7 linked regions of the Rattus norvegicus genome follow. The protein of the gene in region 4 purifies or fractionates together with the protein of the main gene of each other region. This does not show direct contact. Links are inferred from orthologs where the notes say so. Each region holds a gene or a part of one and is shown on either strand. Other genes may lie near its edges. The genes, in order: Pym1, Upf3a, Ddx39b, Rbm8a, Upf2, Upf1 and Ncbp3.

The links.
Region 1: the proteins of Rbm8a (region 4) and Pym1 purify together in Homo sapiens (co-immunoprecipitation; 11 studies listed by BioGRID and IntAct, counting the BioPlex papers as one, with this or other methods). This does not show direct contact. The link is inferred for Rattus norvegicus from reciprocal best matches to the Homo sapiens genes RBM8A and PYM1.
Region 2: the proteins of Rbm8a (region 4) and Upf3a purify together in Homo sapiens (co-immunoprecipitation; 4 studies listed by BioGRID and IntAct, with this or other methods). This does not show direct contact. The link is inferred for Rattus norvegicus from reciprocal best matches to the Homo sapiens genes RBM8A and UPF3A.
Region 3: the proteins of Rbm8a (region 4) and Ddx39b purify together in Homo sapiens (co-immunoprecipitation; 4 studies listed by BioGRID and IntAct, with this or other methods). This does not show direct contact. The link is inferred for Rattus norvegicus from reciprocal best matches to the Homo sapiens genes RBM8A and DDX39B.
Region 5: the proteins of Rbm8a (region 4) and Upf2 purify together in Homo sapiens (co-immunoprecipitation; 6 studies listed by BioGRID and IntAct, with this or other methods). This does not show direct contact. The link is inferred for Rattus norvegicus from reciprocal best matches to the Homo sapiens genes RBM8A and UPF2.
Region 6: the proteins of Rbm8a (region 4) and Upf1 purify together in Homo sapiens (co-immunoprecipitation; 7 studies listed by BioGRID and IntAct, with this or other methods). This does not show direct contact. The link is inferred for Rattus norvegicus from reciprocal best matches to the Homo sapiens genes RBM8A and UPF1.
Region 7: the proteins of Rbm8a (region 4) and Ncbp3 purify together in Homo sapiens (co-immunoprecipitation; 3 studies listed by BioGRID and IntAct, with this or other methods). This does not show direct contact. The link is inferred for Rattus norvegicus from reciprocal best matches to the Homo sapiens genes RBM8A and NCBP3.

What each region holds. Positions count from the first base shown.
Region 1 is NC_086025.1:1,761,192-1,765,609, forward strand, and holds the start of Pym1 (partner of Y14 and mago), read left to right. Parts: upstream 1-1,518; 5' UTR 1,519-1,586; coding exon 1,587-1,623; exon of another isoform or gene 1,624-2,075; coding exon of another isoform or gene 2,076-2,187; intron 2,188-4,138; coding exon of another isoform or gene 4,139-4,193; intron 4,194-4,418. UniProt on the Homo sapiens protein: Key regulator of the exon junction complex (EJC), a multiprotein complex that associates immediately upstream of the exon-exon junction on mRNAs and serves as a positional landmark for the intron exon structure of genes and directs post-transcriptional processes in the cytoplasm such as mRNA export, nonsense-mediated mRNA decay (NMD) or translation.
Region 2 is NC_086034.1:82,467,861-82,472,266, forward strand, and holds the start of Upf3a (regulator of nonsense transcripts 3A), read right to left. Parts: upstream 2,827-4,406; 5' UTR 2,799-2,826; coding exon 2,598-2,798; intron 2,225-2,597; coding exon 2,118-2,224; intron 788-2,117; coding exon 681-787; intron 1-680. UniProt on the Homo sapiens protein: Involved in nonsense-mediated decay (NMD) of mRNAs containing premature stop codons by associating with the nuclear exon junction complex (EJC) and serving as link between the EJC core and NMD machinery.
Region 3 is NC_086038.1:3,583,016-3,586,660, reverse strand, and holds part of Ddx39b (spliceosome RNA helicase Ddx39b), read left to right. Parts: intron 1-2,905; coding exon 2,906-3,089; intron 3,090-3,142; exon of another isoform or gene 3,143-3,217; intron 3,218-3,645. UniProt on the Homo sapiens protein: Involved in nuclear export of spliced and unspliced mRNA. Component of the TREX complex which is thought to couple mRNA transcription, processing and nuclear export, and specifically associates with spliced mRNA and not with unspliced pre-mRNA.
Region 4 is NC_086020.1:186,852,574-186,856,948, forward strand, and holds Rbm8a (RNA-binding protein 8A), read left to right. Parts: upstream 1-1,462; 5' UTR 1,463-1,510; coding exon 1,511-1,577; intron 1,578-1,877; coding exon 1,878-1,937; intron 1,938-2,053; coding exon 2,054-2,131; intron 2,132-2,428; coding exon 2,429-2,565; intron 2,566-3,013; coding exon 3,014-3,150; intron 3,151-3,270; coding exon 3,271-3,316; 3' UTR 3,317-4,229; downstream 4,230-4,375.
Region 5 is NC_086035.1:77,172,249-77,175,893, forward strand, and holds part of Upf2 (regulator of nonsense transcripts 2), read right to left. Parts: intron 1,183-3,645; coding exon 979-1,182; intron 1-978. UniProt on the Homo sapiens protein: Involved in nonsense-mediated decay (NMD) of mRNAs containing premature stop codons by associating with the nuclear exon junction complex (EJC).
Region 6 is NC_086034.1:19,109,226-19,113,419, forward strand, and holds the start of Upf1 (UPF1, RNA helicase and ATPase), read left to right. Parts: upstream 1-1,312; 5' UTR 1,313-1,592; coding exon 1,593-1,808; intron 1,809-4,194. UniProt on the Homo sapiens protein: RNA-dependent helicase required for nonsense-mediated decay (NMD) of aberrant mRNAs containing premature stop codons and modulates the expression level of normal mRNAs.
Region 7 is NC_086028.1:58,181,173-58,184,817, forward strand, and holds part of Ncbp3 (nuclear cap-binding protein subunit 3), read left to right. Parts: intron 1-872; coding exon 873-981; intron 982-2,920; coding exon 2,921-3,020; intron 3,021-3,645. UniProt on the Homo sapiens protein: Associates with NCBP1/CBP80 to form an alternative cap-binding complex (CBC) which plays a key role in mRNA export. NCBP3 serves as adapter protein linking the capped RNAs (m7GpppG-capped RNA) to NCBP1/CBP80.

The sequences.
Region 1 (4,418 bases), on a different chromosome or scaffold from region 4:
CATTGGAATATGATTTCTCCAATAAGGGTTAAGAGGAACTCAGTCTTACTGTAGCATCTTTGCGCCTTATTTAGGATCTGTGCTTTGCCATACTCCAAGTCAGTTGGTGGTGGGGGTGGGGGAAGAAAGGAGAGAAACGTCCACGGAGGAGGCGTTTGATGACTCTAGTTCCAGGTGCTCATCTCTTTAATCAACCACATCATACAAGTCAGAGAGAAAGAAACCGCAATGAACAAAGGGAAAGGAAAAAACAAGCCTGTTTTCCCAGCCTCTTCTTCCTCTGGGTGGGGGTACACATCCGGGGCCCAGGGCTGGGTCCAGGGCCAGTCTACTGAACAGACAATTGAGTTTCACTTCCTGCCAACCTGCAGAGATGGGGGCAGGATGTCTGAGGGGTACAGTGGTGGGGGAGTGTCCAGAGATTAAAGAGTAAACAGGTCACATTAGGATTTCCCCTCACTGAGCAGGTCCGTGGAGAGTTGTAGAGACTGCTCTTGAAATAGTTCAAATCATGCACCTCCCTCACTAATTTTCAGAGGCACCATTCCATGTTCTCATCTCTTTTTCCTCTCTGAGGAAAGGTTACTAGAGAGACAGAACTGAAGTACAATCGATGAATGAACAGATAGGGGCTGGTGGGCTTAGGGTGAAGTTCACTGGCCAGAATGATTGTCTGACTTATGCTAGCTATGCTAGCTACACTCGGCTACACTCTAGGTTCCAGCATACCTCCTCCCACCGTACACACAAACAAGAGGAAGCAAGGGCATGGGTGAACACACACACACACACACACACACACACACACACACACACAAACAGTGAGGGATTAGAAGTAAACACTTGTAATAACATGTAGTATATGCAAATAGCGTTAGTGAGTTCTTGAAAACTTTGTTGAGGTTATCAGCCTGTTTTTTTTGTTTTGTTTTGTTTCTTTTCCGGTGCTGGGGACCGAACCCAGGGCCTTGTGCTTGCTAGGCAAGTGCTCTACCACTGAGCTAAATCCCCAACCCCTTGTTTTGTTTTTTAATCAGTTTTTTCCTCCTTTTGTTTGTTTTAAAGTGAAACATATTGTCTATTGCTGAGGTAGTCACTAACCTTTTCCCCTTCTCAATTTTCCCCATCACTGTTGGACGTTGAGCAATAGAAGAGGGTGAAAGAGTTAAGGAAAAGCTTTGTAGGAGGAGGGCAGAGTCTAACACCTAAGGAGAGGCGCTTGAGCCAGCACCTTCCTGACAGAAGAGGAAACAAGTTTAACAGGACCTAGCCCCAAAGGAACTAATTTGCTGAAGGGGGAAGGGAGGGATAGGGACGAGACTAAGGCGTTCCTTTGAAGAACAAGGTTCCCTACAGGGCACAACCTAACAAAGGGAGTGGCTTCACAGTCCCAATAGATTTAAGGGTGAAACTGCTGGTGGTAGCCGAAGCTAATCCGAGGTGTTGGGCGCGGCTAATTAGAATACTGACTGGGTCCGCCCTAAAGCCTTCACTCTGTGCCCTCTGACCCGGAGGATCCACTACTGAGCAGCAGGCCAAGAAGTTACCTCGCCGCTGAATCCCCAGGGCTGCTCGCCAACTCAGTCATGAAAACCTCCAGCACCCCTGAGGCCACGGGCACAGGTGATCGACCCGCAGTGCGCCGATCTTTGCGCGCTCTTTTCCTAGGTCTCTGTTCAGTTAAGCTGGGCGGCAGAGAGTGATCGACAGGCGAAGTAGACCTGCCCACCTTAAGTGTTAGTCGGGGTTTTCGTGCATCCCCTGCACTCCTGAGACTCTTCTGCTCGTGCCAATGAGCGCCCTGGAATTTGGTGCAGGCTACGGGCCTTGCATCTTCCTTTCCTCTTTTACCAGCTTTTCTACTGGGCCTTGAGCCTGAGAGGACTGTCTGGAGTAAGGCTTATGTAGGAACTTCTCTTCGAATCCAGAGGATTGTTTTATATACATCAGGAGGTCAACAGTGGTATCGGTGGTAGTAAAAGAGCTCACGACTATGAGCGTCTACACTCCCCTTTCCGCCTCCCGAGTCAAAGAAATGGGGCAGTCTCTCTTTAAGATTAAAATGGTGGCTTGCTATGAGGAGAACTCCACTTCCGGCGGGGAGGGGGCGGGACCCCAGCCCGCTCACGCCGGAAGTGGTTAGGGTTCTCAAGATGGCGACTCCCTATGTAACTGACGAGACCGGCGGTGAGTTCGGGAATCCGGGAGCCGCTTCTCTCGGGATTCTTGGGTTAGGGGTTCAAACTTGGAAAAGGGTTTGTGCCACGCCCATCCCGGGGCTCCTCCTTTGCCACGTCCCCGTATCGCTTTCTCCATTCATTCCTTTGGGTTATTACCTGCGCCCCCTTCTGGTCTCGTGTCTGGGGGGGGGTCTCTGCTTCCGGTCTCCCAAACCCTGGGGTCCTTCAATGTCCCCTGCTCCGGGACCCTTAGGAGCCTCAGCTATTTCTAGTTGTTGGAGTCCCGTACCTTTTCAGGGTTCTCCAGCATTACGAGCTCCTGCACTATCAGTTCCCTCCAATTCCAGCCTTCTTCCCCCCTCCCCCATCTCTTACTGTTATACCTGCTCTCTACCTTTCCCTGTCTCCATTCTTTTTTCTCCGAGCTGTATCTGCTGATGATCTCATTGCTACATAGTGCTTTCCTCACTCTTTGCCCGGTCTTCATTTGTTTGGGGGTGGGGGAGGAAGTGTCACTGAAATCCAAGAGGTGTGAAGGGAAGAGGAATTTAACTTTCAGCTTGACTTTTCTCACTAATGGAGTTTTCCATTTAAAGTGAGAGAAAACAAACAGGAAAGTATCTACTGGCCTTCCTCTCAACATCTTTGACAATTGAGAGAACCCCATTATTTCTTTAAGTTTGAGTAGAATTTCATTCCAGCTGTCTGAAATGTTTAAGTCTGCTGTTTGTGTGTGGAAACTGAGAATCAGTTTTATGTTTTTGTCTTGTTTGTAATTGCCTTGTCTTTGGAATAATGTGCAATGTTAACTAAGAGTGATCAAATAGTTATAAGAGAGACATTTGAAAAACTCAGTGCAAGCATCTGGTAATTGTTTTTGTAGCCCTCATTTTGGTCTTCATGTGTGGTCACTGACTCTAAGGTTTTGTAGAAGTGATTCTGTGATTGTGCGGTAATACACCATGTGTTTTAAAGTGTGCCTTGTATGCTTCTTGGTTTGCTTTATATGTTCCTTATTAAGTAGACTTCCTGTTTTATAATATTTAATGACAACTTGATTTTCTGCCACCTTTCCCTGTTCTTGCATTCCAAAGCGTTGTAGCAGTGTTGCCTTATGTTCTCTACTCAGTAGGTCTTATAGCTAGCAACTGGTTTTGTCTTGTTTTTTAAAGACAGGCTCTCACTATGTGCCCTTACTTGGTCTGGAACTCCCAATGCAGACCACACGTCTCTGCCTCTCAGACGCTGGGATCAAAGGCATGCACCACTGTGCCCAACCTTTAAAAAGCAACTTTTTCTTTAACCCTCCTCCAGTCCCCAGGTGTGGTCTCTCTATGTGGCCCTGGCTGGCCTGGAGCTCACTGTGTAGAGATCCACCTGCCTCTGCCTCCCTTGTTGTGGGATTAAAGGCGTGTATTACCATGACAGGCAGCTTGCAGCAAAAGCTTCTTATTCTTTTTATGTATGTGTTCCATCTGGCCCCTGCCCTGCCACAGAGATGTTTTCTGTTCTTTGTGATCTCTGTGGCTCCGTAGAAAAGGAAAGTGAGCTGTTCTTTTGCTTCTCTGCTTTTCAAATGCTATTGTAGCAAAATAGCAGTGTTCCTGTCTACTGCCCACAGATGATGGGGTTTTTGGTATTTGTTTTTTAAAGACTTATTCTATGTGTGTGATTATTTTGCCTGTGTGTATGTCTGTGCATCATTTGTGTGGTTGGTGACCACAGAAGTCAGAAGAGGTATTAGATCTGGAGTTGTAGTTAGAAGCCAGTGTAAGTCAGTACTGGGAATCAAACCCCCAAGTCCTCAGTCCTCTGCAGTAGCCACTCTTAATCCCTGAGCCAACTCTCTAGCCCTTTTGTTTTTATTTTTGTTGTTATTCTGTCTGTAGCAGCTTGGGAATACTCTGAACTCCCTACTTCCTGAGCACGAGATCATTGACGTACCTTTGTATTTTCAGCTACACCTCAGGATTACTACAACCTGGACCTCATCTGTGACACATTTCCTTTCAGGTATTCCCCTTCGCTTTAGCCTCCTCACCAGTCGCCATTTGACTGTCTCAAGTCCACAGAGGCAGCTTTTTGCCCTCTTTAGGTTTCCTGGTTCCATGTGTGTGAATGTGTGTACTTGCCTGTGTGCACGTGCATGTGTGGGTGCAGTCCACATGCATGTGGAGGCCAGATGTTGATGTCAAGTGTTTTCCTTGACCCCCCCCCCCTTCCCCTGCCACACCTCCT
Region 2 (4,406 bases), on a different chromosome or scaffold from region 4:
ATCTCAAAAAGGGGAGGGGGAGATAAGATGATTTCAGATGCATATATTTTACTAATATTTAAAATGAAGAGATCAGCTGAATAAAGGAGTCAGCAGTGAACTAAAATGCCCAATAGCCTGAGCCCTAAACCTGCTTGACACTCACAGACTCACAGAAACTACAACCTGACCTTCTGCTCGCCACAACGGAGAAGGGACCGCGAAGTTGTGGAGGAGAGATGGAGGAGTTCAGTATTGGGAGGGGGATGGGTGGGGAAAGAATGTCTGGGGAGGGCAGAAAAGAGCTTCCTACAGAATGTTTACAAACCTTAAGGCAGAAAATATAACACAGGGCAGTTGGACAGGACAGGGAAGGAAGAATATAAAAACAGATGCAGAAAGTTCAGGAGCAGAGTCCCTGAGGGGGAGACCGCACCGCATGCTCCAGGGCTGCTATTCATGACCATATGCCCCTCTGCAACACTTTCAAGAAACCGCAATCATGGCCAGTACTCTGGATTCCTGCGTAAATGTAACTTGGAAAAGGAACGCGCGAACACCCACTCTCCAGCAATGGTGCATTCCTGTTCTCCTCACACAGAATGTCTGGGATTCTTTGGTTTATAAGCCTCGACAGCACGCGATACAGTAACAGTAAACGTTTATGACCTTATTTGAGAAGTTAACTGAAACTCACTAACCTTTATTGCCAATGAAGATGTATCCATCAAAACGGTCTCTGAACAGCAGGATGTCATCAGGGTTCCTAAAATTAATGTACGCTCTGGAGTAGAGGTGAGGGTAGAGGCTGAAACCCGAGACAGCGATGGTTAGTAAAGCTGTACGACGCTTAATTTGGCCTTATCTTTTATGAATAAGCAAACACTTTTTTATGCCAAAGAATCACTGCTCAGTTAATTTTAACAATCTGGGTATTCCTTAGCAAAAAAAGGAAGAGGAAGAGGAGGAAGAAGAGGAGAATGAGGAGGGGGAGGAGGAAGAGGAGGAAGAAAAAGAGGAAGAGGAGGAGGAAGAGGAGGAGGAAGAGAAGGAAGAAGAGGAGGAGGAGGAAGAGGAAGAGGAAGAGGAGGAAGAGGAGGAAGAAGAGGAAGAGGAGGAGAAAAACCACCCATTAACTGAAGCCTTAATTATCCAGGAGCGCCTCTACTGTACACAGCCAAGGTTAAAATACTAGACTCCATTAGTCACCCAAACACCATGGGTACTTTTAGGGTTGTTTCTGGTACATCTGAACAAGAACAAGACTAGTCTTAGCTCCTTCATGGATGACATGTTGTACTGTTAGTTCCTTTTGGATGAGTAGACCAGTGCTTTGGTACCAAGAAACACTAAACCATTATCCCCATCTCAGCCACAGCTCTTTTCTCAGGTAGGGATCCTTCCATTCCGATTCACAGAGAATATTAAAGTTTAGAGCAATCTGTTTGTACAGAGGGTGCAAGTTTCAAGCTGGGACCGGGACTCCACTGAGTAACTCCCTGTTCTTTTAACTGTTTTTCTAAACTTCAGCCATCTGAAAACTACCTGTGGTTTTTAAATGATACCCATTTAACAATTATTTATATTTTAACTTGGATAGACCTTTTTTTTTTTTAAAAACAAAAACTGGTATCCCAAAGGAAAGCATGTATGACACAAATGAAAAAGAAAACCATAAAAGGACATAAAAATAAATATTTGAATTCCAGCGGCTCTAACTTCTGCTGGTTAGGTCAGCCGGGTGTAGCTCCCATCACCACAGGCAGGGAACCTGTCTGACTGGGTGTGTGGTGCTGACATGGACCCAGTGCATGCAATGACAGATTCCACTTCTCCAGGCCCTAAGCTCAGTTACTGGACCCTCACTAGCGGAAACACTCCAGCCTCAACGTGTCTAAGGGATGCAGTCTGGTTTTCCTCACCATACAGTGTATTAAAAGCTACGCGGAGGAAGGCATGGAAACGCAAAGGAAAAAGAGCGCGGGACCGCGGGAGCACGGAGGTTCCCTTTCGACTGATGCGGTGGCTCGGCCATTCCTAACGTGGGCGTGCACTGACAGCTGGGAGGGGGTTGCAATTGTGAGCGCCGCGGGGGTCCTCGGTCCTTCTCCCGTGGGTGTCCCGCCGCAGCCCCTTACCTGAGGTCCGCAGCCACCACCTCGAAGTAATCGTGCGCGGGTAGAGGACGCAGTTGCTCTTCCAGCTGCTCTTTGGTGAGGCCCGGGGGCAGACGCCGGAGGACAACCTGCGACGACCATCACTCAGGTGCTGCCACCCTCCCCGCCCACCCAACTCGGGGCTCCCTAGAGCACGGGGAACCGCGGCTCCCCTGCTCCGGGATCCCGGGGAATGAGACTCCCCATCACGGAGCTTCCCAGAGCCCGGGGGACCGCGGCTCCCCAAGTCGGGGACCCGGATCCCGGGGAATGCGACTCCCATTGGGGAGCTTCCCAGATCCTGGGGACCGCCGCTCCTTAATCCTAACCCATCCCACAGGCGTCACCTCGGAGACGAGGCCCCGCCCCTGGGAGGAGCAAGCCGCACCGCCCTCCTCAAGCCCTGCCCGCCCTTGGGGCTTAAAGCCGTCCTCTCGCGAGACTTGCGGGCCCCGCCCCCACCTTGCTCAGGGCCGTCCTCTTCTCCTCGCGAGGCTTGCCGACCCCGCTCTCACTTAAGGCCGGGGCCGGGGGCGCCGCCGACTCATTCCGCGTAGACTCGCGGCGGAAATGGGTCTCTGCTCCGGACAGTTTCTCCCTCCAGCTCGGGCCCCGCGCAGAAAGGACTGCGCCCAGGCCTCCGGCCCCCTCTTCCGAGCGCATCCCCACCGGCCGCCCGCCGCCACCTCCGCGAGCACGAAGCCTCGCGAGGACTAGGCAGCCCCTCCCTGGCATTCGGTGTCCGGTGTCCCCTCCCCAGCCCTGACGGGGAAGGGGCGGTGCCAGTGTTGCCCAGCGCCCGTGAACTTCCTAGGATAGGGACCACAGTGAGGGAAATCAGTGCTGCCGCTCCGAGAGCAGGTGCACGCTCCGCACATCCGGGGCGCTGCTGACCTGCGACCTGGATGGAGGCCGCGACAGTGTGGGACCGGGAGGCCCCAGGAGCCGAGAGCAGTCGCTGGGGCAGCCCCCAAAATTAAACGCATCTCTCTCCTCCCTCCACCTCTCCCCCACTCCGGCCCCCTCCCCCTCCCTCCTAGGTGTTTGGTTCCGATGAGACAGGGCTTCTCCGTGTAGCCAAGGCTGTCCTGGAGCTCACTCTGTAGACCTGGCTCTCCTGGAACTCAGAGATCCTCTGCCTCCTGAGCGTTAGGATTAGAGACATTGGCCACCACCGTCTGGCAAAAATATTTGTCTTTTGCAGACAAACAATACAGTTTTTCTTATTCGCGTTGGCTATGGTTTTTATTTATAGTAACCTTTTCTCCTTAGGTTAAGCGTAAAGGAGAACGAGAGAATTTCAGAAATTGAGATTTACTTTAAGTGCAACCAGGCTTCACAATGACGTCCCGTGTTGATTGTGGCACTCCTGAAATGTGACGTTTTAAATAAGCCGACTCAAAACCATCTACAGGGCTTCAAACATCAAAGTTCTATAGAAGCGTGTGCAGGAATAGTTTCCAGTACCTCACGTTGCAAGGGAAGCCAGGCGTCTGAGCCCACCATTTGAACCAGGTCAGTTTGGAATAACCAGTTAACGCTGACCAAGAGCTATGATGGCCTGCTAAGCTTATTAGGAAGAAAACACATGTCTGAGAGGCTGATGTAGGGAACGTGTTGTCAGGAAAAAAACAACCCATAACAGTTAAGACTGTACAAGGCCGATGGATAATAACTTGCCAAGTGAAGAAAGTTGGAACATTACAAGCTCAGAGCCAAGTTACCTTGGGCTGGCTTTAGCCCCCTTAATAAAGCCATTGACTGCCCACCTGTGTGTCTGGCCTAAGGAAAGACCAGTTGGGGCTTTCTTTTCATCAGATTTGCCTGTGGGACAGTTTCTCCACTAATGGATGTGAGAGAGTCAGCAGGTGGTCCTTGGTTGTAATATGTAAGCCAATAAGCAGCGTTTTCCCGTGGCCCTGCTAGTTCTTGCCTCCTACTTGAATTTTTTCTCTGATTTCCCCAATGATGGATGTGACCTGAGAGCTATAAGAGGAACTAAATCTCTTCCTCCCACAAGTTGCTTTTGGTCAGTATTTTATCACAGTAACGGAAAACTAGGCTAGAAATTGGTAGTAAGTAGTGGGCTATTGCCAACAGGCTGACCATGTTTTCTTGTGTGTGTGTTTGAAGACCATGGAACTCTTTGGAGTTTTGAGGCTGGAGCGCCGGAAATGCCATTGAGTGCTCAGAGCGTAAAGAGCTGTGGGGATGCGAAAGATACCATTGAAAGAATAGAGGCCTTATGAATTGTCATAGGGACACAGACAT
Region 3 (3,645 bases), on a different chromosome or scaffold from region 4:
TGTAACTGCCTTTGTAGGTTCCACACTGTGAATAAATAAGTCTGCGTGTTTCCTGAGAGTTCATAACTTTAGGTGACGCCATCGCAGCACTCAGTAATTAGTTGGGTTTTGGTATTAAAAATTCCATTCCAGAGCCTTGAGCTACTCAGTCTGGAATTGAGCTACCTCCAGGCCCCTTTGTTCTTATGTCCAGGATTGTCTTGTAACCAGGTTATCCTGGGAGGCCTGGCACTCGCTTAGCCCAGGCCACAGGCCTTGAACCTGCCTGAGGCTCCTGCCATACCAGTTCCTAAGTAGTTGGGACAGGCCTTTGCCACCTGGCTTGGCCAGAGCCTCTGTTCTCTTCTCCTGTATTGCTGGGTAGATTGCTTGAGAGTTTGGGAGTGTATGTGGCAAGAGGAAGCTAGATGCTCTTAGAACCACTCTGGTGTGGACTTTAACTCCGGAACGTTTGGTGCTTTCTTGGTCATAACAAGTGGCATGTGTCTTCTATGAAGGGATGTGGTATGGCCTTGTACTTGGCATCCTTTTGGAACTTGGAGATTATTTATTTCTATGCTTGGACATATGTGGCCTGCTGTGTTTGAAAGTAGTTGTAACCTGGCCCTGAGTGGAGAGATGTATGTGGACTTCCTATTCTGGTTAGGTGGGGGCCCTTGGGTCACTTTTTTTTTATTTTTAATAGAGAATGTAGTTTTGCTTGGTTGAGGCAGCATGTCACCAGGGATGAGTGCTTGCCATCATCTGTCTGCTGCTTGAGTGCAGGGGGGTTATTTACTTATTATATATAAGTACACTGTAGCTGCCTTCAGACTCACCAGAAGAGGGCATCAGATCCCATTACAGATGGTTGTGAGCCACCATGTGGTTGCTGGGATTTGAACTCAGGACCTCTGGAAGAGCAGTCAGTGCTCTTAACCACTGAGCCATCTCTTCAGCCTTCATTGTATGCTTTAAAGGAACTTGTAATTTTGATGCAGAACCAGAAACTGAGAATAGTTTCTTTAAAATCAAAGTGGGGGTCAGAGAAATGGCTCAGGTAAAAGCATTTGCTGCAGAAGCCTGAAGATGACTTGCATCCTTCCCTCAGAACCATGTAAGGTTTGCACCAGATCCACAGTGTCCTCTAACTCTCACGTTCACTTCCCCCACACTCAAAAACCATGTATACACAATAAGATATTGTTACATATACAACTTATATGTGCGTATCCCACCACAGGATTTTCCTGTGTAACCCTGCTGTCCTGAAACTTGCTCGGTAGAGGTATCCTGGGCTGGCCTCCAAGTCAGCCCTGCCTTTCTCTGCCTCCTCCGGGTGTCACCATCTCCACAACCATGTCCAACCCAGCATGACATTTAAAAAAGGGAATTGTGGAAGAAGAGAAAAAGGAAAGACAGTGTGCAAAATGCTAAAGGAATCCAGAAATCTTGTGATCTCTGAGGTCCCCATTGCTCTGCATAACCAAGCATTGACATTGTTTTCCTAACCTGTCTCTGTGCAAGCTTCCTGGCCTCTTTGAGAAACATTGTAGCGTATTTATATTTTTTTTCCTCCTAGGATTTTGAAAATAGTTTGTGATCTGGAGGCATTGTCTGTGTCTGTGCTTCTGTTTGTGTGTCTGTGCCTCTGGTTGTAGGTAGTTATCATACGCTGCCAAGAAATGAATAGACTTGCAGTTCTTTGGCTGAGCGGTCCTTCTGGGTGAATCTAATAGTTGGAAACTAAAGCTGTCCATGGCTCATTCCTGTAACCCAGGGCTTGGGAGGTTGAGGTGGGAGTTTGCTGGAGTTGAAGGCTGCCCTAGGCTAATGTCTCAAAACCGAGGGGGAGAATTGCAAACCATTTACCAGGAAGCTGCAGTCCTTCTCTCTGGTCCCACAACACCCTGTGTTACTGAGAATGCTCTGAGGGTTGGGATCAAGTATGAGGCCAGGTTTGGTATTCAAGTCAGCAGAGTAGCTAGTTAGGCCAAGCACCCCACCTCACCCCACCAGTTAACTACATAGTCATAAAATCAGAATTATCTGTACTTTTCCTTGGTTCTGCAACAAAGTGTCCTCTAGGGGGCAGTCTAGTGCCTCCCTTAGGTTTAGCTTGCTTTCCCCTCAGCATCTGCAACAGACCAAAACTTGTGTCTGAAAGCTTAGTTGATACCTGCTAACACACTTCGGAAAGGAATGCTCCTGTGTACACGTGTTAACCATTCATGACTCTATTGAGAAAAGGAAGAGGTCACCACAGAGGAAGCTTCCTGGTGATTTCCGTCCCCCTGAAATTGAACAAGTCCAGGCGTTTCACCTAGTGTCAGAGCTCACAGGTCAGCACTCACCTAGTGGTTTGCACTAGTGGTGTGGCCTTTATCTCAGGAGGAAGCGAAGGCTGCAGGCCAGCCATTCTGTCCTCAGTCAGGGAAGCTTGCCTGTGGGTTTTGTTTGTCTGCTGGCGCCTCACACTTCCTTGGGGGCTTCTTGCTTTCTTCATTTGTAAAGGAGGCTGTGACTTTGGAGTCACCTGTGCCTCATTGTGTAGGCCAGCTAGGGCTGTGTAGAGTGATCCTGCCTTAGAGTTCGAGTGGAGGCAGAGAAGCTGAATGTCATCCCCGCCCTTCCCCCTTAGCCCTGCCATGGTGAGCAAGTCACTCTGTTTCTTACTGGAGGCCTGACAGCTGATGGCTGGTTTACAGTCAACTGCAGGATGGATGCACTGGTATTGGCAAGGTGGCCCATTGCCTTTAACCTGCCCTTGGGCAACAGACAGGCTGATGTACAAAGTGGGTTCTAGGCTGGCCAGGGAGGGCTATACAGTGAGGCCTTGTCTCAGACAGAGGGATGGGGAGAGAATGGGAGCTCTGGGAGACTGGAACATTTTCCTTTCTTGTGAGACTTTCCTGTTGGCCGGCAGGTGGCAGTGTTTTTTGGCGGACTGTCTATCAAGAAGGATGAAGAGGTGCTGAAGAAGAACTGCCCACACATTGTTGTGGGGACTCCTGGCCGAATTCTAGCCCTGGCCCGAAATAAGAGCCTGAACCTCAAACACATTAAACACTTTATCTTGGACGAATGTGACAAGATGCTTGAACAGCTCGGTGAGTGGTGTGCCCGGCCCCAGCTCAGGTGGTTTAGGGAGCTGCCCTTTGGAGCCAAATGATGTGTGTTTGATATAGGAGCACTGTGTGCAAGGACGACCCTCATCTATCACCCATGACTGATGGCTCCGGGCTGCTTCCCCTGGTGCTGTGGTGCGGTGCAGTGAGGCTGTGCGCCCAGCCTTGTGCTCTCCTTTCTGTAGCAGGGGACAGAATGTGCTGATACGTCATCACCACTGCCCCTTCTTAGGGATGGACCATGTGCTGGGGGTTAAACTAGAGCAGCAGGTGCCTGCCCTTGTAGCCCAGTATAGCATGTGCGACCAGGATTCATAGATGTGCAGGTTTCTGGAGTTAAATTCTGGAGGTATCTGGTAAATGTTCACAAGAGATCACACATTCTGGTGGTGTAGTGTGCCATGTGCGGTTAAAAGAAAACTTTCATTAAGAGTTTCATTGGGGAGTGCTGGAGAGATGGCTTGTTAGTTAAGAGCTCTGGCTGCTCTTGCAGAGGACCTGGGTTTCATTCCCAGCATCCAGATGGCAGCATATGACC
Region 4 (4,375 bases):
AGAAAACCTTGCCTGTTTATATTAGTGTGAGTAAATTTGTTTTAAAATCCATTAGAGAAAAAAAAATGCCAAGCAAAAAAATAGAAGCTATGGGGTGGGGGCTACTTCCCTAAGTACAGTGCTGGAGGCAAGATGGCTCAGAGGTAAAGAAATCTTGCTGCTCTTGGGGAGGACCTGAGTTAGGTTCCCAGGACCTGAGTTAGGTTCCCAGCACCTGTACTGGGCAGTTCACAATAGCCTGAAACTCCAGCTCCTGCGGATCTGATATCCTCTTCTGGCCTCGTCAGGCAACTGTACTCAGTTTCACTACGGACACACAAACACAAATAAGGAAGATCCAGGTGGCTTACGCTGAGGCAGGCAGAACTTTGTGGGTAAAATCCATATTGAGTTTCAGGCCAGTCAGGTCTGACAAACAAACCCACCTGTGATGGTTACTCTAGGTTGTCAGCTTGACTATCTCTGGAATGAACTACAAATCCAGAAATGGAGCACACCTGAGAGATTTTCTGTTTGGTGAAGTGGGTTGATCCACTTCTAGTCCAAGCTTTAGGTAGGAAGGCACACCTCTGATCCAGTTCTTGAGGCAGGAAGACACTTGCCTTACTTTAATCCAAATCTTAAGGCAGGGAAACATAACTTTAATTTGACCCCTACCGTTTGCTGGACGTCTATATAAGAACATAGATGGAGGAAGCTTTTGCTCTTTACCTTGCTCTTAAGCCCATTTCTTCCCGGCATTGGAGATCTCAGGATTCTAGACCAGCTGTGACATCAGCCTTGTGGGACTAAGCAACTACTAGATTCTTGAACTTTCTGAACACAGCTTGCTATTCTTCAATTAGTTGGGCCACAGTCTATAAGTCATTTAAATAAATCCATACACGTAGCTTTGGATCAAAGGACTTCTTCTTAGTTGAAGGTTTTAAGAGAAAGTCACTGGCTTCACTCACCCTTTAAATTTGTCCCAATGCGGTTGAGCTCCCGACCTCCAACCTGCTCAACTTGGCTGTAGGAGAACTTCCGAAACCATTTTATTTTACTTTTTATTTTTTGAGACAGGGTCTTACTCTGTAGTCTTGGAGCACGTCGTGGTAGCACACGCTTTTAATTCCAGCAGTATGTGGAAGGGGAATATAGTTGGGTATCTGAAACTCCGAGCCCAGCTAGGGCTATATAGAGAGACCGTGTCTCAAAAAAAAAAAAAAAAACAAAAAAAACCCAAAAAGCAAAAAACCCAAAACACAATCACAAACTATGTAATTTACAGCCTCAAACTCGAAGCGCTCCACCAGAGCTCGGGAGTACAGGGATTAAAGGCGTTTAATCACGCCAGGTTGCCATCTCCACTCCAAAGAGGGGCCGCTTACATTTGCGAATATTCACCGCGCCGAGGGCGGGACTTGACAGCAACCTTGATTGGTCGGCCTGACTAGTGACGTTTTCCCTCTACGTCAGTTTCCCGAGGTTCCTAGCTACTAGACGCACAGAGAGCGCCGAGAGAAGCAAGATGGCGGACGTGCTGGATCTTCACGAGGCCGGGGGCGAGGATTTCGCCATGGATGAGGATGGTGACGGTGAGTAGAGTGGAGGCAGCTGCGGGAAGAGGGAAAGAGGGGAAGGTGCGAGAGGAGAGTGCAATAGGAGAAATTTTCCTGGGATGGAACCCAACAAACTGGGTCTCGAAAAGATAAGACTCCTCCCCCTTGGGAAGGAATTAGGGGTGGAACCGGGAAGGGACTGAAGCTGGAGTCCGTGCCGTCAGCTTCCAGATAGTGTAGGAAACGAGACAGTTTTGTTTGTTTGTTTGTTTGTTTGTTTGTTTGTTTGTTTTAAAGATGACTCATTTTTGTTTATTTTCTCACTTGGAACTTTAGAAAGCATCCACAAACTAAAAGAAAAAGCGAAGAAACGGAAGGGCCGCGGTTTTGGTTCTGGTGAGTGTGGGGAAATAGGGTAGAGTGATCTAATAGGGAGAAGTCCGCAAATTTGGGGGTGCGATGGGAACACATTTGGAGGACAGTTTTCGGTGATCTGGTATGCATTCTTTTAGAAGAGGGGTCCCGAGCGCGGATGCGGGAAGATTATGACAGTGTGGAGCAGGATGGCGATGAACCTGGACCACAGCGCTGTAAGTAAATAGGACCTGTGGGGAGTCTGTTTGTATTTATTGGCTCTTAAATGGAAAGTAAAGAGTTGTTTAAACCAATCTCAGGAATTGCTTATTGTTGTTCTTTTTGGGATTTTTCTTTTAGTTTTTTTTTTTTTTCTTTTTTGGATACAGGGTTTCTCTGTGTACCAGACCTGGCTGTCTGTCCTGAAACTTTTTGTAGACTAGGCTAGCCTCAAAACTCAGATCTGCCTGCCTCTGTCTCCTGAGTATTGGACTTTTTATCTTTACATGTTCATACAACATCTTCCTCTACAGCTGTTGAAGGTTGGATTCTCTTTGTCACTGGAGTCCACGAAGAAGCCACTGAAGAAGATATCCATGACAAGTTCGCTGAATATGGGGAAATAAAAAATATCCACCTGAATTTGGACAGGCGCACGGGATACTTGAAGGTAGATTTTTCTTGCTTCCTTCACTTACAACTCTTAGATACATTGTTTACATAGATTATGTTTTGTTTGCTGGGTTGATCAAGCACAGGTAGGGAGTGAAATAACATTGGAAATTGATTTTGTTACTCACAAGAAAGAGTTTAACAGAATGAGCATGTTGTGTATATATAATGGGGATGTGTGATGTACTTTTCAGTGTGGAGCTGCAAAATTTTCCTGGTTGGTATGCATTTCTGGGTTAAGGAAGAGGGTACTTGATAGTTGGTGAAGTAGAATTTTGATACTTTTTGTTGTCGCTTGTTTGGGGACAGGGTTTCTCTGTGTAGCAGAGCTCTGACTGTCCTGGGCTCATTTTGTAAACTAGGCTGGACTGCCTCTCCAATGCTGGGATTAAAAGTATGTGATGTCATTCCTGGGTAAGCTTTGATACTTTTATGTGTTCCCCTAGGGGTATACTCTAGTTGAGTATGAAACATACAAAGAAGCTCAGGCTGCCATGGAGGGACTAAATGGTCAAGATTTGATGGGACAGCCAATCAGTGTTGACTGGTGTTTTGTTCGTGGTCCACCAAAGGGCAAGAGGAGGTAAAGATGATGGGGTGGAGACCCCAAATTTATCTTAGTGAAGGGAACATGAGCAGGATAAATAAGGAAGGATACTGTATTATCTTTCTGATTCCCCTTTTGTTTTTTCATTTTCCTTAGAGGTGGCCGAAGACGAAGCAGGAGTCCAGACCGAAGACGCCGATGAGATACTTAATAAATCCTCTGTTGACCAGGTGGTCTCCATGAGTCTATTTGGTTATGCTGCCTTGGATAAACAGGGCTAGGATGGACTTTGTGTTTATATTTAATTTCTTACCCTACTTGGTAATTTTGAGTTTAAGAAAAAAATAAATGTCATTTTGTTTTCTACATTTAAAACTGTGTTTGACTGTTCTGGAAATTCTAAACAACCTCAGTGAGGCCTTCTGAGTGGTTGTGAAGCTACTTCTGTGTGGCGTGGCCTTCTGAGTTTCTAGAAAGGCTCACAGAGACTGCTCAGCATTTCTTTAGAGCATGAGAGTGAGCAGGTGTAATGGGTTTTTCTTGTGGTGTTCAGTGAATTTTACACTCTTGTGAGCAGATGCTATGTCAGTGTCTTGTGTAGCCCAGGCTGGCTTTGAACTCACTGTATTGTAAAGAACTTTGATTCTTGCCTCTTACCTCCCAAGTGCTAACATTGCACCCATGGGCCATCATACCCAGTTTATGTGGTCTCCGGAATTAAAACATGGAGCTCTGAGATGCTCAGCCAGCTCTACTTTGAATATGGTGCTAAACTGTGAAGTTTGTTAGTTCCTACAACATAAAAACCCAGCTTAAGTACTACTAGACCAATATGCACACCTTTAATTCCAGCACTTGGGAGGCAGGTGGATCTCTTGAGTTAGGGGCAACCTGGTCTACACAAGAGTTCTAAGACAGCCAGGGCTACAAAGACATTGCTATTCCTTTATTATATATAGTTTTTAGCTGGGATGTTTTTTTAGGTGTGTCTGTTGTAACTGATTTGTTGTCTGTGTGGGTCCCTATGTGGCCCACACTGGCCTCAAACTGATGCTCCTATCTCTGTCTTCCCAATGCATAATGGCAAATATTAAACATAACTTTTTCTCAGTTGGTATTGGCCCTTCCTTTTAGTAAATTGCTGGGGGGGGGTGTTGGTGGGTTGAATTAGTTATGAGTATATTTTACTTTAGGGTTCCTTGGTGGTTTCTGGTAAGGTAGACTGAATAAGTGTTAGTGTGGTAAGAGATAAACCTGGTTC
Region 5 (3,645 bases), on a different chromosome or scaffold from region 4:
TTCAAAGAACATCTGTCAGAGCTAATGGTAGCTTCTTTACTCCTTTTCTAATACTGTGGCTATTTCTAAATAGCCTGTCATTTTCTAAGAAATGGTTATCTTTAAAATGCCTTAATAAAAGGTACAAGGTACATGTTAGATATTGAGGTAAATATTAAGCTATCATAAGTGAGCTTTTTCTAAATAGTTACAATGTCTTCCTATCAGCCCACCCAAGCTATTTCCTTTGCAATCTATGAATCAAGAAATAAAGGTAGCTAGTTATATAACATTTATATTAAGAGGAAAGTATGCAAAATACCTATAATTATCAAATATTTATAATTAGTAAGCTTATCATTTCCTGTGAATTGTCTCAATAACCTAGAAATAATAAAAATATAGTGTAATCTTACAAAATAAACTTAAAGCAGCTTCAGAAAAAGAATTAAAATAGATACTAGTGATTGTTTGAGTTTGCAGCAGAAAATTTATTTTTATTTTTTATTTATTTTATGTCTGTGAGTACACTGAAGCTGTCTTCAGACACACCAGAAGAGGGCATCAGATTCCATTACAGATGGTTGTGAGCCACCATGTGGTTGCTGGGAATTGAACTCAGGACCTCTGGAAGAGCAGTCGGGGCTCTTAACCGCTGAGCCATGTCACCAGCCCACGGCAGAAAATTTAATATACAAATTCACACATAAGTAGCTCCTAAGAAGCAGCAAATGATTTAATATAAAAAACAGGTTTTGTTGTTGTTATTGCTTTTTAAAGACAGAGTTTCTCTATAACCTTGGCTGTTCTGGAACTCTCTCTGTAGACCAGGCTGGCCTCAAATTTACAGAGATCTGCCTGTCTCTTCCTCCTACTGCTGGGATTAAAGATGTATACCACCAGCCCCCAGCTCAAATTGATATTTTCAATAGTAGGGTTTAAAGACTTTTACGTTCTCCACAAGCTGTAACTGGGTATAAATATGGAGGAATGTGTTACCTCCATTCCCAATCGAATATCTTCAAGTACTCCGTCCACAACGTGGATCCCAACATCCTCCTGGTAAAGCACTAGTCCTGCTAGGAGGTTGGCTACACAGTGAATACTATTGTATTTCACATTCCAAATGTTTATCATACAACAAATGACATAGTCTTTAACTTCTTGGTCCTGCCAGGGCAACTTTCGCATCTGTCTCAAAACCTACATGAAGAAAATGTTGTTTAAATTATTAAGATAATTTTAAAATCTGAAATACTTTAGTAGGCTTTTATCAGTTTTCTTATGTTACAAAGAGGTAAAATGAGATTTATTAATTATGAAAATTTATTATCATTACTTTCTAGACCTTTCAATAATTTCTACAGTATTTCTCAAAAATGTCCCATAGCATTTGGGTCTTAAAAGAGTCAAATGAGAGCTGATGAGATGGTTCAGTAGGTAATTACACAACACGTGCATGTATAAAAAAATGTACAGAGTAGAGTCAGAAAAATAAACTAACAGTAACTTAGTCAAAGACTAAGCTTGCAGAAAGAAAAAAAGCCATGGTTTGCCAAAACTAGTATATATGATTTGACATAAATAATCTCATTTAAAATCTATTTCTAACAAATAAAGCCATGTTCAGACCAATGAAAGAATAGATGGTTGAGAAACAAGCTGCACAATCAGAGCCACCTAATGTTTGACAAAACCAACCAGTGGAGAACAAAACCAAACAAGACAGCCTCATCAGCAAGTCGTACTGGAACTGGCTATCCATAGGGAAAGAGTGAAACTAGATCTATCCCTCTCCCTTCAGAAAAAATCAATTCAAATGGACCAGACCTTAATGAAAGACCTGAACCTCTCAAAGTGCCAAAAGACACCAGAAGAAACATGTTAGGCACAGGGAAGGCCTCCCCAAAGATCTTAAGAAATAATCCCCCAAATTAACAAAGGGGTCGACAAGAAATTAAAAGACTTCTGCACAGGAAAAAAAATCACCAGAGTGAAGAGATATAGAGAATGGGAATTAATTATTATTGTTGTTTAGATAAATACTGGCAATATCTTCTAATCAATAAGTGAATTAACAGGAATAAATACAAATTGCAATATGTAAAAAAGTGTCCAAAATCCTAAGCCATTGAAAAAAGGCAAGAGTCTAGGTCACCACAATCATAATGGCTATCAACAAGAAAGCAAATGCCAGCCAATTCTGATAACCATTGGGAAGAGTCAGTGGTGGTGGCACAGCCCTTCAGTCACAACACTCAGGAGGCAGAAGCAGGAGAGCTGTAGGTTCAAGCCGGATTGGCCTACATAGTGAGTTCCGGGGCAGTCAGAGACACGTAGAGAGAGCCTGTCTCCAAAACAGTGGTGGAGGGTTGGGAGGAAGAAGAGAAAGAATAGGAAGAGAGGAGGAGGAAGAGGAAGAGGAAGAGGAGAGAAGACAAGAACCCAGCATTACAACTGGGAAGAATTTTAACTAGAATAGCTACTATGAAAGTCAGTGTAGACATTCTTCAAGAAAGCTAATAATAGAACTGCCGTACCATGACAAACCACACCATTGGGGTATGCTAATTCACTGTACCAGAAACCTGAACATCCATGTTTACTGATACATTTATCAAAATAGCTAAGTTATGGGAATCAATAAAGACAGAGGACAGATAAAGAAAACATGGTACACAATGGAGCATTACTCAGCTGTAAGGAAAAATGAAATTATGAGACTTGCAGAAAAATAGAGCAACAGATCATTATGTTAAGCAAGATAAGTCATGCTCATCACATGTTCTCTCTCATGAGGGCTCTAGATCTAAACTTGTGTGTGTGTGTGTGTGTGTGTGTGTGTGTGTGCGTGTGCGTGTGCGTGTGTGCGTGTGTGCATTTGTAAGATACAAAGTACAGAGAAAACTTGGGGACAAGAAGATACAGATGACAGGGAAAGGTGGAATACAGAGGGTAAAGGAAAACGTGCTATTACAGCAGAGGGAGGAGACAAGCAGAGAGCAGAGGGGGTGACAAGAGAAGGGTATCAGAGCGGGTAGGGGCAGGGCAAGTGTAATAACACATTATGTATGGAAAAGCCATAATGAACCCACTATTTGTAACTTAAAAAAAATTAAAAATTGAGTTGGGGAGGTGTTTGATAACCGCTAAGTCCACATAAAAAAAGCCAGGCATGGGGTTGGGGATTTAGCTCGGTGGTAGAGCGCTTGCCTAGGAAGCGCAAGGCCCTGGGTTCGGTCCCCAGCTCCGGAAAAAAAAAAAAAAAAAAAAAGAACCAAAAAAAAAAAAAAAAAAAAAAAAAAGCCAGGCATGACTACACAATGACTACAATTCCAATGCTGGACAGGGGAGGATGGGAAGCTCCCTGAAGTTTGCTGGCAAGCAAGGAAAGGTGAATTTGCTAGTTCTAAGTTTAGCAAGAGAAAACACCTAAATGACATTAGCCTTTTGGCCTTTATATACATGTACAAACACACACACACACACACACACACACACACACACACACACACACACACATGTTCTAAGTCACTTAAGAGAGAAGACAACCTCAGTTTCCTTGTGTGTAAAATGGGAAATAGTAAAAGTATCACAGTTGGGATCAAACAAATTAAAATATGCTCAGTGTTTACTGAAGTGACTGATAAAACAAATATGTCAGCT
Region 6 (4,194 bases), on a different chromosome or scaffold from region 4:
GACATACATGGTGCACAGGCATGCATGCAGACAAACACTCCTCCATCTCCAGAGTCCTGGGCCTGGGCCTCTACACACAGCATCTTTTTTGTGTTTTGAGATTATGTAATGCTGGGTGTCCTGGACATCGCTCTGTAGACAAGACTGGCTTCAGAGTTAGCAATCCCCCTGCCTCCGACTCCTGAGTGCTTGAATTTTAAGGCACGTGCCACCACATCCAGCCCTGTACTGACTGGGAGAGCCACCTCAGCAGAGGCAGCCACCCTCCTGGGTTTTCCCCTCCCAATAAATCTCCTATGAGGTTTGTTGTGTGCTGTGACTTTGTTGTATTCCTTGGCTCCCAATTGCCAGGATACCTTTTGGAACACAGTGAAACACTTTCTCTGGGGAAACCTCCCCTGCCCAAGCAGAGCGGATCCACTTCTGTGGGGGAAGGCCTTTCCCTTCAGAGCTGCGACACTTACACATCCTCCACTGAGAGTGGGAAGGTAGCACAGGGAGGAAGGAGTGTGTTCCTCTGAGTCTCGATTCTGGCTGTGGATGCTCATCAGTTGGTGGCCTTTGCCTAGCATACAAAAGCTCTGGGTTCTGTGGACAATATCGAATGTACAGTCATCGCACCACCAGGGGCTTTGAGGCAGGAAGATTCCCCAGAGTTCCAAACCAGCCTGGGTTACTATATGAGGCCCTCTTTCAAAACAGGCTAGAGAGATGGCTCAGAGGCAAAGAATTGGCTCCCAGCACTTACAAGAGGGGCTAACAATCATCTGTAACTAGTTCTAGAGGATCTGACCCCTTCTCAGCGATTCCCAGGCTAGCCCGGACCAGTGGGACTTGATCTCAAGATAAAAGAAAGAAGCAGTTATCTTCACAGGCTTCAGGAGTGCCAGGGGTAGCAGTGACTACCATTTGGCAGAATCCCTGCTCTCTACTCATTCAATCGATGAATAGTAAAGATGGCCACGAGTCAAGTGGCAGACGGGGTAACTAGAGCTCAAGGAAGGCAGATGCGCGGTCCCTGTGCCACAGTTTCTACACCCAAGACCTTCTGGAAAGAGCCTCAGTTAGCACCTAATGAACATGCAGCCCAGAAGCCTGGCGGTGAGGATGTCGCAACCCCGCATGCGCATCACTAGGCAGCGGTTGGGGCGGAGCCAAGTTCGCGAGCCCAGGTCCTTTAGGCAGTTGAAGGCCCGCCTCTTCGCGCAGGCGCACGACGAATTCCGCCCTCCCGCTCTGCTCCTAGTGCCCCGGTGCGGTTGGCTACTTTCCGGGAGGGACGCGCGCGCCTGCGCCGGCGTCGGGCTCGCGCACGCGCACCGCAGCGGTGGCGGCGGCGGCGGTTCCTGTCCAGGGGGCTGAGAGCGGCGGTCGGCTTTGAGGCGAGCAGCGTTGCGGAGGGGCGCGGCAGCGGCGGCGGCAACTCAGAGCTCGGAGCCGGAGTCCGGGCTCTGCTTCCAGAGGCCGGCTCGGAGCCCGCCCGGTCCTCAGGGCGGCGGCAGCGGCTGCTCCGGGTTACGGCCTAGGCCTAGGCGAAGCCTCGGGCTCGAGTGCGGTGAGGCGCCGGCGGAAGGCGCGGCCCGGGCGGCAAGATGAGCGTGGAGGCGTACGGCCCCAGCTCTCAGACACTCACCTTCTTGGACACTGAGGAGGCCGAGCTGCTCGGTGCCGACACCCAGGGCTCCGAGTTCGAGTTCACCGACTTCACCCTACCCAGCCAGACGCAGACGCCCCCCGGCGGCCCCGGCGGCGCGGGAGGCCCAGGCGGAGCGGGTGCAGGCGGCGCGGCCGGCCAGCTCGACGCGCAAGTGAGTTGAGCGGCGCATGGCGGCGCCGGAAACCGGGCGGGAGCGGGAGCTGCGGCGCCAGGTCTCAGTTAACCAGCCCTGGGCCCCTGTGAACCTGCGCCAGGTCCGAGTTTGTGCTGGTCCGAGCTACCGGCCCCAGGTCCAGTTAATAAGCCTGGGTGTATGCTTCCTACTCTGGCTCCTTAAACAAAATCCCTATTGACCATCTCTAGTTACCCACCCTAGATTCCTGTTTAACTGCCCAGGTACCTGCCACCTGCCTTGGGTCCTTGTTACCTGTCCTAGATCTCTGCTACCCTACCCTGGTTCCCGTTTACTTACCCCTTTCCCAGATCTCTGCTTCCACCTTCAGCTACCTTTTCCAATACCTCTCCCAGGTCTACCTGCCACAGTCATTGCCATCTGCCTCAGGTCCCTACTACATACCATCTCCTCTAATTCCCTGCCTCTTGTCCTAGCCACCTGCACCTAGTCTCTGCTACCTGTCCTGTTTTCCTCCACCCAGCTAGACTGGGCAGTGACCTGCATTAGTGTCCCTCCTCCTGTATAGCACAGAATCTGCTCCAGCTCAAGGCTTATGCCAGAACTGCCCTCACTCCCCTTCTAGGTGGGTCTAAGGTGACCTACACTAGGTTTCTCTGGCCCTAGTGCTATCCTCTGGACCCACACTGTCCTCCAGGGTCACCTATTTGGCTAGTCCAACCATCCCATCTCACCCTCTTGCCACTTCCATCCACCACGCCTCCAGCCAGGGTTCAAGTTTGGTGGAGGGGCTCTCTGGAGCAAATCTAGGGTTTTGGCGCCTCGGGTGGAAACAGCCCACTTTGTGGCTGGTTAAGGTGGCTGAGAGACAGCTGCTGGTTCGTTTTTTCCTTCTGGGTTGCCTGTTGCTGAGACCAGTGTTATGTAACTCCTAGGCTCTGCTTGGAAAAGTTGGGTTTGAGTTTTGTTCCTTAGAGGCAACCACAATGGGTATCACACGGGTGACTGTGCCCTGGGGAGGGGCTTTTGTTTTGAATGACAGACTGTCGGTGTAGGCTAGGGACAGGCCATCCCTACCTCCCTGTCAAATGGCTGGCTTGGTGTTGGGCACCTCTAGGCTTTGTTTTCCTGTATTCTCCGGGGAGCTGCCGACTAGAGCCACAGGTGTTCTTACAGTCCATGTGTGTGCTTAGGGCTAGGGAGCCACCACCAGTCTCCAGCAGTGATCTCAGACCGAGTTCCGGGAGGGCCTTCGAGCTGGCTGGTTGAGTCATATTTGTGGGTAGACCACCCACTTGGGCTCATTTTCAGCCCTAATAGGAGAAGAAGGCTGAGTCAGCCCCTACTGCGGTGCAGGATCAGGTGTGCCTGCGTGTTGTTTCTAGCTATTTACCTTTAGCGTAAGGAGGTGGAGAGAGGGCAGGTTGCCTGGAGGAGTGAAGTGGCCCAGAAGGCCAGTCCTCCTGTTAGTTTCCCCACTAGGTAGACCTACTTACCTACCTTCCTTCCTTCCTTCCTTCCTTCCTTCCTTCCTTCCTTCCTTCCTTCCTTCCAGCCTTATGGGCCTGGAGAGGGGCACTGTGCAGCAGGCTGTGATGGCACAGCTGGGGAGACCAGGAGTGGAAGTGGGGTGCTTCATCTCAAGGTCTTTTAGCTCTAGCTAATGTACAAAGCAGACTTGTGCTATGCGTGTGCTCACATGGGTGTGCCCTGCTCCGCCAGTTGAAACCATAGATTGAGCCATGAGCTGCCGCCCACCTGTGGCCTCTCATCATAAGGGAGGGAGGGAGGGAGGGAGGGAGGAGGGAAGAGATGGAGGAAGGGAGGAAGGGAGAATGGGAAGGAGGGAGGGAGGGCCTTCAATCCTGTATTAGGAAGACCTGTATCTGTGGGCAGAAAGTGAGCAAAATTGGAAAGTGGAAAAAATCCTTTGCACACCCAGTGTCCTCAGCCACCAAAAACATTGCTTTTCGTTATTTATCCTTGGAGGTGAATGGGTCACACAGGGGATCCTAGGAGGATAGACCCCCTACTCAGTAGGTTGAGCTGCCCCTGTGGGCTGCTGGCAGTTCTCTTCTGGCTTTATTGAAGCAGAATCATGGAACCTGCATATATCCCTGGAAAGCTGACAGGACAGTGGCCTTTTGGGCCACCATCATTAATACCAAGTAATGTCTCAGCATCCTGAGTCCCTGTACCCCCAGCCTCTCTCTTCAGCCACCAAGAATCCTGTGGCCTCTGTGGATGTGAATGTCTCAGGCCCTTCCTTTGCTGGATAGATGGCATAGTATACTTGTCCTGTGTCTCTCATGTTTGTGGTTCATTACTTTGGAGTGCAGACAAACCACAGGGCCCTGTTGTTACTGTCATAACCTGAGTGCCCCTGTGCTGGTATGTGTTGGTG
Region 7 (3,645 bases), on a different chromosome or scaffold from region 4:
TGTGTGGATGTAACAGTTCATCTTGGAATCTTAGAATAGTGGTTATACTTGTGTAGAAGAGAAAATGGGTTTATTAAGAAACACTTTGAAGTGTTACCTAATCAATAAAATAAGAGAAAGCAAGTAGGGTTTGTTAGAAATGTTGGAGAGTATTCATTTGAAACATTTGTGTGTGTGTGTGTGTGTGTGTGTGTGTGTGTGTGTGTGTGTGTGTGTGTGTGGTGCTGGGACAAACCTAGGGCCTCGCACATGTTAGGCGAGTGCTGTGCCTCTGCTCTGTGTCTTCAGCTGAGTATATTCATTTCATGTTTAAATATTAAAAAGTGGTAAGTGTTTACTATATACCAAATTCTGGGAACAAGCTATTGTTTTTTTAAAAAAACAAGCCCTTGCCTCGCTGTAATTATATTCTAGAGGGGAAGTCAGATACAGTTGCATGGTGTTAGGAGACACAGCAGCACTATGAAGACTGTAAAGGATGAAGGGAAAGAGATTAAGGGCTACAGGGATGGTATGTGCTGTGCTTTCAGAGGACCTAAGTTCCATTCCCAACACCCATGTGGGATGGCTTATGGCTGCTCGCTATACCCACTACAGGGTGTCTCGCTTTGTTCTGTCCTCTGTAGACAACTGCACTCATGTGCACACAGCTCCACACAGACACATATAATGCACGTAGTTTTAAGAAGTGTTTATAATAAAAGAGATAGAAAATGATGGGGATTACTTTTTAAGGGAGATAGTCTCCAGAGGAGCAGGTGCTATAACACTGATGGGTATAAATGACAGAATGCTTCCTAGTGGTGACTGTTCAGAAAAAGTATGAAATACTTGAATTTTTATATTGAAAGTATTTTTCCTTTTCTCTTAAGTTGGACACATTGTCTCAGGTAGAAGAAGAGTCTCTGTTAAGAAATGACCTTCGTCCAGCTAACAAACTCGCTAAAGGAAACAGACTGTTCATGAGATTTGCTACGAAAGGTAAATTTGATATTTGGTATTAATTTTTGGTTAGAATGATGAAATTATTAAGTAAAACTTTCCCGTTGACTGGAAGCTAGCTCAAATAATGCCGAAGCTCCTTTTAAACAAATCCTTTAGGAAAAAGCAGCTCCCTGACTGAGAAGCCATCTCTTTCACATTTGTATTTGCTAGTATTTATTCACTGTTACCTCCCATGCATGCTTATGATGTATTGGATCCCATTTTATCCTCTTCGTGTTCATATATTCCCACCCTTTCCCTTTTGACCTCTCCCCTTTTACCCAGTGCTGAAATCCACATAGAAAAACAGACAGGGTGCTTTGTGAGCCTTTGATTTTGTTTTTCAAAGCAGGGTTTCTCTGTGTAGCCCTGGCTATCCTAGAACTGGCTCTGTAGACCAGGCTGACCTGGAACTCAAGGCTCTACCTGTCTCTGTCTCTCAAGTGCTGGGATTAAATGTGAGCCACATTTAATCTGGCTTGACACTGTTTTTATGAAGTAAGGTTTTTTTTTGTTGTTTTTTGTTTTGTTTTGTTTTTTTTTCTTTTTTTTGGAGCTGGGGACCGAACCCAGGGCCTTGCGCTCGCTAGGCAAGCACTCTACCGCTGAGCTAAATCCCCAACCCCATGAAGTAAGTTTTATTACAGTCGGGTTTTTGTTTGAGCCGTAGGTACTGAGCACTGGAACAGAGGGCATTGGCAGTGCTCAGGGTGCCCTCTAACATTCTTTTTTTTTTTTTTTTTGGTTCTTTTTTTCGGAGCTGGGGACCGAACCCAGGGCCTTGCGCTTCCTAGGCAAGCGCTCTACCACTGAGCTAAATCCCCAACCCGCCCTCTAACATTCTAACCCACCCCTGAAGTGCTGCTGTGGGTGAGGATTTAGTTAGGGTATACTGGTCTGACCCAGGCCGTCATCCAGACGCGTGTCTGTGGCAAGAGAGCTGGCTTTGAAATGAATGAGACTCCTTCAGCATACACTGAGTCTACCACTGTGTCCATCCTGGTCATCCTGGTAGGTAACAAAGCGATGGCCAGTGGTAAAGGTGTTCCTTCAGCTCCACTGTCACTACACTTGAATCCACCTGGAATCACCGGATCAGGGATTCTCCCACCAAGGCCTAGGCCAGCATCTAGCATGTTGGTAGAAGTCTGATTTTGCAGAAACTCCTCCTGAACCAGAGCTATGTGTGCAGTATACCTTTGCCTTTGGTGTCTTGGGCTGGTTTCAGGTGAGATATAAGTTGAGCAACCTAGGCCCCTCAGTGTAGTAGAGAATGAATACCAAACGCCCCTTATGCACTGGGAGAGCCCACTGTCTACCATGTCTGCCTGCTTCATGAAGTTCTCATGTGTCTTGTCATAGAGGATGCTGACTTTCATTAATACCAGCAAGTAAGCCAGCATTTTGTGCCAAATAACAGATAAATGAGTCTTAAAGTGCTGAGCTTGGCCCTGCCACAACTTCCTAGGGAACAGGAGCATATGGTAGGAGTCCATTGTTGACAGTGTTGCCATCCGTGTGTCTACCATAGTGCCATATGAGGATAGGTAGCTTTGGTGTTCTATCTCTGCATAATTTCTGTGCCCCTATATTCCAGCAGAAGAAATGTGCTTGCTGGTATCTTATCTTGGTAGAACTTTCACTGTATGTCCTAATTTGGAACAGTGCCATGAGGGTACTGAAGGTCTTTCAGGGGTTGATAGAATGGGCTGTTGCAAATAGTGTTTTGGTAATCATGGATGTGCAGATTTGTTTTGGGCATATATCCAAAAGTAGTATAGATGGATTATTTGGACTTTTTATTGTTATATTGCATACTTAAGGTCAATCTGAACTGCATGAAACCCTGCCTCAAAATACAAACATCAACAATCAACCAGTCAATATTATTTTCACTCTCATAGGAAACCCTAAGTAACTGTTCTATTAACTTTAGATGACAAAAAGGAACTTGGAGCAGCCAGAAGAAGTCAATATTACATGAAATATGGAAATCCAAATTATGGAGGCATGAAAGGAATTCTGAGCAATTCATGGTGAGTCCAAAACCTTAAAATATGATGGCTGTTTGTCTATCTTAATGTTTTTATTAGCACATAATAGACTTCATTATGACATCAATGTACATGGAGATAATGCATTTTGATAGTTTGATCTTGGCCTCTCCTGTCCCCACCCACTCCTCTTCAACTAGTTCCCTTCTACCTTGACAGCTCTCTTGTGTGTGTGAGTGACCCCTTGAGTTTTGTTAGGGTTTTTTACAGGAGCACGGGTATCTTACCAGTAGTCACTGAAGACAACTTCTCCCTCCCTACTCAACTACAAATTGCATATAAATCATGGGACCCTGTGAGTCCGTCCCTATTCCATAACAGAGTTGATGAACTCAGTCTTGGGTAGGTTTCTGCCAGAATCACAGCTTGAGATGAGTGCTGCAATCATGCCATACCCAGGAAGTTCTTCTTCAGCTATTAGTTCTTTCCTGGCCCTTCCTCCACAGTGTTTCTTAAGACTGAAGGGGTGATACAGATGTCCATTTATGGTTAGGCACTCAGGAGTTTTTTATTCTTGGCGTTTTGTCAATTTCAGGTTTGTTTCGTTTTTTTTTTTTGTTTTTTGTTTTTTTTTTTTTTTTTTTTGGTTTTGGTGTTTTTGAAACAG